Sus scrofa: one gene and its partner. The protein of the gene in region 2 interacts with the protein of the main gene of each other region in a pairwise test. Links are inferred from orthologs where the notes say so. Each region holds a gene or a part of one and is shown on either strand. Other genes may lie near its edges.

Region 1 (3,811 bases), on a different chromosome or scaffold from region 2:
AAATTACTGCATAGTTGGGAGGCATCTGAAATGTGATTTGATTTCAATCTATAACCCTTTTCTCTCCCAGTCCCAAAGAACAAAAGCTCCATGTGTACGTCTCCATCCCAGTGCTTTGCTGGGGATTCTCTTCAATGGACAAGCCCTCATGTGACCTCCCTGTTCACATGGGGAAGCAGGGTCCCACTGAGACAGGTGGGCATGCTGGGCAGCTAGTCATTTTGCTTCCCTCCCAAGCAATACTTGCAAGACATGTTTTCAGCTGCTCATCATGCAATGGAAGAACCAAAATGGCAGACAATTGCTGGTATGGTCAGCCTCTTTGTTCTGGGTTGTTTTTTTTTTTTTCTTTTTAGGGCCTCATATGGAAGTTCTCAGGCTAGGGGTTGAATTGGAGCTATAGCTACCGGCCTACACCACAGTCACAGCAATGATGCCAGATCCCCAACTGACTGAGCGAGGTCAGGGTTGGAACCCACATCCTTGTGGATCCTAGTTGGATTCATTTCCCCTGAGCCACAACTCCCAGCCTCTTCATTTTGTCCCCAGCAATTCTGCTCTGGCCTCAAACTCACTTGCTCTCCTCAGTGAGAATGAAGCCATGCATGGACCTCAGTGCCTGAGTGCATTGGTACTGAGTCGAATATGACCCCTCCCCCACTTCAAACCCATGTCCACCCCACATCTCTGAGTGTGACCGTATTTGGAAGTAGGGTCTTTGCAGATGTAATCAGTTAAATTAAGATGAGGTCATACGGCTAAGGATGGGCCCTAATCCAAATGATTGGTGTCTTTCTTTCTTTCTTTTTTTCTTTTGGCCATACCCACAGCATGTGGCAGCTCCCAGGCCAGGGAGTGAACCTGTGTCCCAGCAGCGACCTGAGCCACTATGGTGACAAGGCTGGATCCTTAACCTGCTGTGCCACAAAGAAGCTCCCTAACTGGTGTCTTTCTAAGAGAAAACAGAGACATAGACACACACCCAAAGAAGACCACATGAAGACAGAGGCAGAGGTGGAGGCATGCCAGCAAAAAGCCAAGGACCTCCTGAGCCACCAGAAGCTAGGAGAGCAGCACAGAGCAGATTCCCCTCAGAGCCCCCAGAAAGAACCAACCCTGTCGACACCTTGATTTTTAGACTTCTGGCCCCCAGAACTGGCAGATTGTACGTTTCTGTTGTGTCAAGCCAGCATCCTCTTAGGAAAGCAGTTTAATGCCCAGGCCATTGGCTACTCCTGGAGCCAGCTTCTTAGACGTCCTGTCAGCACCTCACTCCGTTTTTCCAGACATTTTCTTCCAACCAGATGTGTTCTGGTAAACAATTCTCAGCGTCTTGCTTTATTTCCCCTCCTGAAGTGTTCGGGCTCTTTTCTCCCAGGGTGGCTGCCCGACGAAATCTCCCTTCTGGGAAGCTCAGAACTAGTTCTGCTGGAGCCTAAGCAGGCAGGTGCCGATCACGTGCTCCCTGGTACCTGTGTGTCCCTACTGTGTGCAAATCTCCCAGCTGGGACTCCAACACCCCCTTCACGTGTCTCATTAACCACAGCAGCCACCCCATCAGACGGGAGCCAGCTGTTTCAGGGCACCGGCCAGCCAACCACCCCCTGAAGGCGCTGACCTGGAGCAGCAACGCCAGGCTCAGCCCTGGCCCCCTCCCGTGGCAGTGAACCCCGGGGCCGGGCCGGAGGCGGGCACTCACCGGGTCCTTATTCTCTTGGTCTGTCCGTGTCTCCCGGAGGTCCCCGTTGTAGGTGGACGTCCGCTGGTCCTCGGCTGCGCTCCGCTGCTGCCATAGTATGGCCTCCCCCTCATACTCCTTCCTGTACAGGTTGGTCCTGTCGGACAGGCTGGCTCGACGCACCACCTTCCTGAGGGGAGAGGGCAGGTGCTGAGAGGCTGCATCCAGGCGCCACAGGCGGGAGCCTCAGGGGGCACCCGGGGTTGCCCTGCCTCTGACTCACCCGCGGCTGCCTGCGCTGGATGTCCTCCTGCTCAAGGATGACTTGTGCCTCAGCTGGGACTTCATGATCACGTCGTGCTTGTGTTTTAGCTCCAACAGCAGGACCTTGAACTCTTCCTCTTCGCACAGGTCTGAAGGGGCAGAGGAGACCGTTGTGGGGCGGGGAGACAGTACAGGGGCCTGTGTCCCCTGAGGGCCTTCCAGACCAGGGGAACTACCATCCCAACCCACCGAAAACTCCCAACATCTTTTGGGGCATGGGGGAGGGGAGAAAACAGTGACAGTCTCACTTCCTGGGCGATAACCCCACCCTGAGAAGAGTGTAAGAAGAGGAAAGCAGGGAATTCCCGTTGTGGCTCAGTGGTAATGAGTCCAACTAGGAACCATGAGGTTGCAGGTTTGATCCCTGCCCTTGCTCAGTGGGTTCAGGATCCGGTGTGGCTGTGAGCTGTGGTGTAGGTTGCAGACGCGGCTCGGATCCCAAGTTGCTGTGGCTCTGGCATAGGCTGGTGGCTACAGCTCCGATTCGACCCCTAGCTTGGGAACCCCCATATGCCACGGGAGCGGCCCAAGAAATGGAAAAAAGACAAAAAAAAAAAAAAAAAAAAGAAGAAGAAGAGGAAAGCAGGTCCCATGCAAAGTTCTATGAATGGTCCCAATTCCCAGCTGTGACTGAAAGATTCAGACACCTCTGACAGCTTCTAAAAGGAGTCATCAATTCTTCACTGACGCAAGAGGTATCAACAGACAGTCCATGTAGCCCAAAGAAGAAATGATGAAAAGATGCTGAGACTATATATCCCCACCCATTCAATCCACGTCATCCTTTAATTCATCCGTCTACCTATTCGTTGAACCAGTCATCCATCCATAGATTCATCCTCTACCCACCCATCCTCTTTTTTTTTTTTCTTTTTACAGCCACATGTGAGGCATGTGGAAGTTCCCAGGTTAGGGGCTGAATCAGAGCGGCAGCCGCCAGTCTACACCACAGCTGCAGCAACTTGGGATCTGAGCTGCATCTGCAACCTATGCTGCAGCTTGTGGCAATGCTGGACCCTTAACCCTCTAAGTGAGGCCAGGGATCAAACCTGCATCCTCATGGATACTAGTTGGGTTTTTAACCCGATGACCACAATGGGAACTCCCCCACCCATCCTCTTACTCATATTCATACATACATGCATTTATCCATTTACCCATCCATCCCTCCATTAATCTACCACCATTAATTTATTCACTCATCCATTTATCTATCCATATGCTAATTCACCAGCCCACCATCTATCCAACCATATATTCATTCCTTTATCCTCTACTCATCAAAAAGTTGATGAGTGCCTATGTATGTACCAGGTGTTGTGCTGACCTTACCTATTGGCATCTCATCCATGGATGTCCTAGCACTGAGACTGGCCCCATGGGACACCAATAGCTCTGCCATCTGCATCTGAAACACAGGAAAAAGAGGCCCAAGTTCCCCCCTGCCCACGGCTCAGAAAGCCTAGGAGGTGGAAAGAGTGTCCATAGCTTCTTAGAATGTGACCTAAAGAATGGTGGGGCAAAGCTGACTCCCAAGGAAGGATCCGCCCCATAAAGCCAGGAATCCAGGCAAATGCAAGGGGCCTGACCCCTCCTCCTCCAGTGTGCCTGGGCCATACGGAGGGACAGGAGGAGTCTGGCTATAACTCCAGAGCTGTCAAGTGTCTAAGGAGGAACGGTGAAGGCTACAATCAGAGATTTATATCTGAGAAACATACGGAGAAACTACTCAAGGCAGAAATGAGGGGAGTTTTCTAATTTGGCAAATTGGAATATCATCTTGTTAGGATGCAACTTTTGCAAATGCTT
Region 2 (4,248 bases):
AACGAATCTGACTAGGAACCATGAGGTTGCGGGTTCAATCCCTGCCCTTGCTCAGTGGGTTAACGATCTGGCGTTGCCGTGAGCTGTGGTGTAGGTTGCAGACGTGGCTCGGATCCCGCGTTGCTGTGGCTCTGGCGTAGGCTGGTGGCTACAGCTCCGATTCGACCCCTAGCCTGGGAACCTCCATATGCCGCGGGAGCGGCCCAAGAAATAGCAAAAAGACAAAAAAAAAAAAATGTCTGGAAGAAAGGAATGTCTAAAGAAAGGGACTCTCTATTATTGTTGAAGGACAGAGAACAGCAGCATAACTGGTGAAAGAATCCCTCTCCTTCCCAGCAAAGAAAACCCACCTGGATGGGGCATCCCACCCGGTGGGAATGGGTGAGGATGTGAGTGTCCATGTGCAGGATGTCCAGCCCCTGGGGTTCCTGCTGATGGAGGGCCATGTCCTCCAGCCCCAGGAGGCATAGGTGGTGGGGGCATGGCTGGGGGTATCCCAGGTGGAAGGGCTCCAGGAGGCGGTACTGGGGGTGGGAAAGAGCCAGGAGGAGGCATGCCTGTAGAGAAAATAGAAAAAGAGTTCATGATAGTGAGAAGAGAGTACCTTTAGGGGGCCTGTTCCAATCTGGCCTCTAGGCAAGATGAGTTCTTTTCCCCTCCTTCCAGCTCTCTAAAGTCAGAAGCAACTTAGACAACTTCAAAATTCTAGAACAGGAGTTCCTGTCATGGTGCAGTGGTTAACAAATCTGACTAGGAACCATGAGCTTTCGGGTTCGGTCCCTGCCCTTGCTCAGTGGGTTAAGGATCTAGCGTTGCCATGAGCTGTGGTGTAGGTCGAAGATGTGGCTCAGATCCCACGTTGCTGTGGCTCTGGTGTAGGCCGGTGGCTACAGCTCCGATTAGACCCCTAGCCTGGGAACCACCACATGCCATGGGAGTGGCTCTAGAAAAGGCAAAAAGACAAAAAACAAAAAAAAATGCTAGAACAATTCAACAATGTTCTTCTCACTGCATCCATTACCTCTCAACCCCTTTCTCATCACCTACTGACTCAATGTCCCCTCCTTTCCAGGTTCTTTTTCCTTCTTCCTGCCCTCCCCCCAATTTAAGACAAACATATTCTGAATAGAAAGCTCTACCTGGTGGAGGAAGCCCAGACCCCAGTGATGATACCACAGGATTTGGAGCAGACGGTGGAGGGGGGGCATCTGCAAAGAGCTGATGAGGGCGGTCAGCCTGGGAGAGTGGGTTCTGTGCTGCCAGAAGTCGTTCAGCTGCTGAGCCATGGCGCTCACCCTTGGAGTCCTTCTTGAAGGCATAGGACACAGTGATTGGGCGGTTACAGAGGTACTGCCCATTCATGGCCTCAATTGCTGCATCCGAAGCATCAAATGAAGCAAAATTAATAAAGGCATAACCTTTGGAGTTGCCTGTGTCAGGGTCCCGCATTATCTTGGGGGTTTGTAAGATGACCCCAAAGGCGCTAAAAGTATCATAAAGCAACTTCTCATCAATTTCTGGGTCCAGGTTTCCAATGAAAATGTTGGCTCCCACATCCAGGTTTTTGTTGTGAGCTGATGCCTTGTTCACCCGTATCGGCTTCCCATAGAGTTTGATCATGTTCATGATCTTAATGGCATAGTCAGCATCTTCCTCACTTAAGAACTCCACGAAACCATAGCCTAGGGAAATGGAAAAGAAGAGTTAACTTAAGTGAAGCGATTCAAAATGAGGTATAACTCACCTTCTAAAGTACAAAGAACAAGAAAAAATAATCCTACTTCAACTGAGAATGGTTCCAGAAACAAACTGAGTTTAAGAGAAAGAAAACTTTAGCTTGCTTATTCCAAACAGTTGTGAATACTGCCGGGACCTTCCAGGAGCAGTTTGTTTCCTCAAAACATAACTGCACTTCTTGGGAGTTCCCGTCGTGGCTCAGTGGTTAGCGAATCCGACTAGGAACCATGAGGTTGTGGGTTCGATCCCTGCCCTTGCTCAGTGGGTTAAGGATCCGGCGTTGCCAGTGAGCTGTGGTGTAGGTTGCAGACGCCGCTCGGATCCCACCTTGCTGTGGCTCTGGCATAGGCCAGTGGCTACAGCTCCGATTCAACCCCTAACCTGGGAACCTCCATATGCCGCGGGAGCGGCCCTAGAAATGACAAAAAGACCAAAAAATAAATTAAATGAAAAATAACTGCACTTCTTGCCATGTACTCACCTTGATGCTGACCAGTGACTCTATCCTTTGGCATGTGGGTGTTGACTACTGGCCCTGCCTGGAGAAACAGTTCCCACAGCAGTGGTTCGCTAACTTTCTCATCGAGGCCCCCCACGTACACAGTGGCATCTGGAGGACAGGGTTAGGAGGTTAGGACAGAGATGAGAGGAAATAAGGAGGTGACGGGAACATGAAGTCGGAACCCAGGCGGTGGAGTTGCGGGTGGAGATGGGGTATTGGAGCAAAGAGAAAAAGAAAAGAAAAAAAAAAAAAAAAAAAAAAAAAGACGTTAGCTTATACCCCTACACCGCCCTCCATTCCAGGTAATACAAAATCTTCTTAAATATAATTTAAAGTTCTGGCGCACATTCTCTTTGTAATTTTTTGTGTGCGTGAGTGGGAAGGCAGCAGGGGATGGGACATAGACAACATCACACCTACAGGCCTCAGCCTCTGGGCACCCGTCCATCCCGCCCCAGCAGGCATCAGGCCGGTCTAGCGCCTTTTGGGATGCTCCAATCTCCCGCCCTGGCGGAAACACTGCTGGCTGTAACCCGAGATCCCCCAAACTCCCCTGGGCCCATCCCGGACTTGTGCCCTCCACTCACCCTGATTCCGCTCGGAGATCGGCCCAGCAGCCATGGCGAAAGACCTCCCGCCGTCTCCAGGCAGCGATACCGCCTCCTGACCGCAGTACTACTTCCACTTCCGGGGCGAAGGCGGACGTAGAGGCGGTGGGCGGGGCCTATGCAGGGGAGGAGCCGGAAGCGGCCGCGGCCATTTTAGGAGCCGCTGAGACTTGAAGTGATTGGTGTTACCGTGTTCCGCGGTCTTTGGTTTTGTGTTGAAGTGCCGCTCTGACAGGTTAGGGCGGGGAACGCGGATCGGAATCTCTCAAACGCCCTAAGGCAGTGCTTGAAGTTAAAGGATCACGCTGCTCCCAAAAATGTCAATTCAGGAGCTAAGAGAACAATATTTTTCGTATATTTTGTGGCCTCCTTTGATTCCCAGAGAAGGGTCTTCTGCCCAAGGCGTGGAGGCAGCTGTCCACCCCGGCCCGCAGCCTTTGGACAGATGGGGCCCCATAGTCCTGGCCTGGGCTTTCATTTTTCCTCAGGGAAGGGATTGCGGAATGTCTGAGCTGGAGTGACGTTGAGCTTGCCTAGTCAGTATTGCATTGGGGGTGACGGGAACCAGAGGCTCAGAGATGGGAGTGTGTGTGACCAGCGCTGAAGAGTGGTTAACACTGAAGTCCAGAGGCTTTGGTCTCAACCCCCAGAGCACACCCCAGCCCCAACAACAACGTCTGGGTCTGTTTTTGCCACATCAGCACCACAGGGAGAACCCAAACTATGAATTCTGCAGAGCTTCACCTGAACCATCCCCTTATTTCCTTAGCAGTAATTCGGTCTGTATCTTCCTCTCTTGAGTCACACCATCACTATCTTACCTAGGTTCCTTTATTCAGACACAAGAAACAATGCCAGCAGTGTGTATAAATACTGTGATTTAATGAACTCCTTAAATAGAAATGCCGTTACAAAAATATACAATTGGAAAAGACTGGGTGTCTCCCATAGCCACACCACACCCAGAGAAAACTTTAAGGGAAGAAATAGAAATTGGAATCAAAGGAGCAGCAGGGGGAGGTGAGAAGGAGGTCTGTAGGCCATCTTGTTGGCACTGACAAATTGTTTCTCTGACCTCACAATTTACCAGCTCAGTATCCAAAATTTCCATCCAAAAGGGTTGGAATGCATGAAAAAAGGGCAATCATATTCCGGATTGGTTTTGTTGGTTTTGTTTCTTTAATTCTTCAGGTCACAAGAAACTATTTAAACCAAGAAGGATAGGGTAAGAGTTGGATAAGGTTAGCCACCTATCAGCTATGGAAACTCAAGTCAGTGAGCTTGTTTAAAGGCTGGCATATGAAAGCTGAGGGAGTAAAACCAGATAAGATTTGAAGGATTAGACAGAATTCTCCCTCACCCCAGACCACTCTCTGCCCCGCCCATGAGAGAGCCAGCAAT

What was found.
Region 1: the proteins of SF3B4 (region 2) and PPP1R16B interact in binary tests that used the Homo sapiens proteins (3 or more experiments, as listed by UniProt). The two-hybrid records come from large-scale screens. The link is inferred for Sus scrofa from reciprocal best matches to the Homo sapiens genes SF3B4 and PPP1R16B.

Annotation. Positions count from the first base shown.
Region 1 is NC_010459.5:41,851,158-41,854,968, reverse strand, and holds part of PPP1R16B (protein phosphatase 1 regulatory inhibitor subunit 16B), read right to left. Parts: intron 3,411-3,811; coding exon 3,335-3,410; intron 2,092-3,334; coding exon 1,962-2,091; intron 1,869-1,961; coding exon 1,700-1,868; intron 1-1,699. UniProt on the Homo sapiens protein: Regulator of protein phosphatase 1 (PP1) that acts as a positive regulator of pulmonary endothelial cell (EC) barrier function. Involved in the regulation of the PI3K/AKT signaling pathway, angiogenesis and endothelial cell proliferation.
Region 2 is NC_010446.5:99,122,270-99,126,517, reverse strand, and holds the start of SF3B4 (splicing factor 3B subunit 4), read right to left. Parts: upstream 2,955-4,248; 5' UTR 2,861-2,954; coding exon 2,827-2,860; intron 2,348-2,826; coding exon 2,219-2,347; intron 1,683-2,218; coding exon 1,140-1,682; intron 558-1,139; coding exon 351-557; intron 1-350. UniProt on the Homo sapiens protein: Component of the 17S U2 SnRNP complex of the spliceosome, a large ribonucleoprotein complex that removes introns from transcribed pre-mRNAs.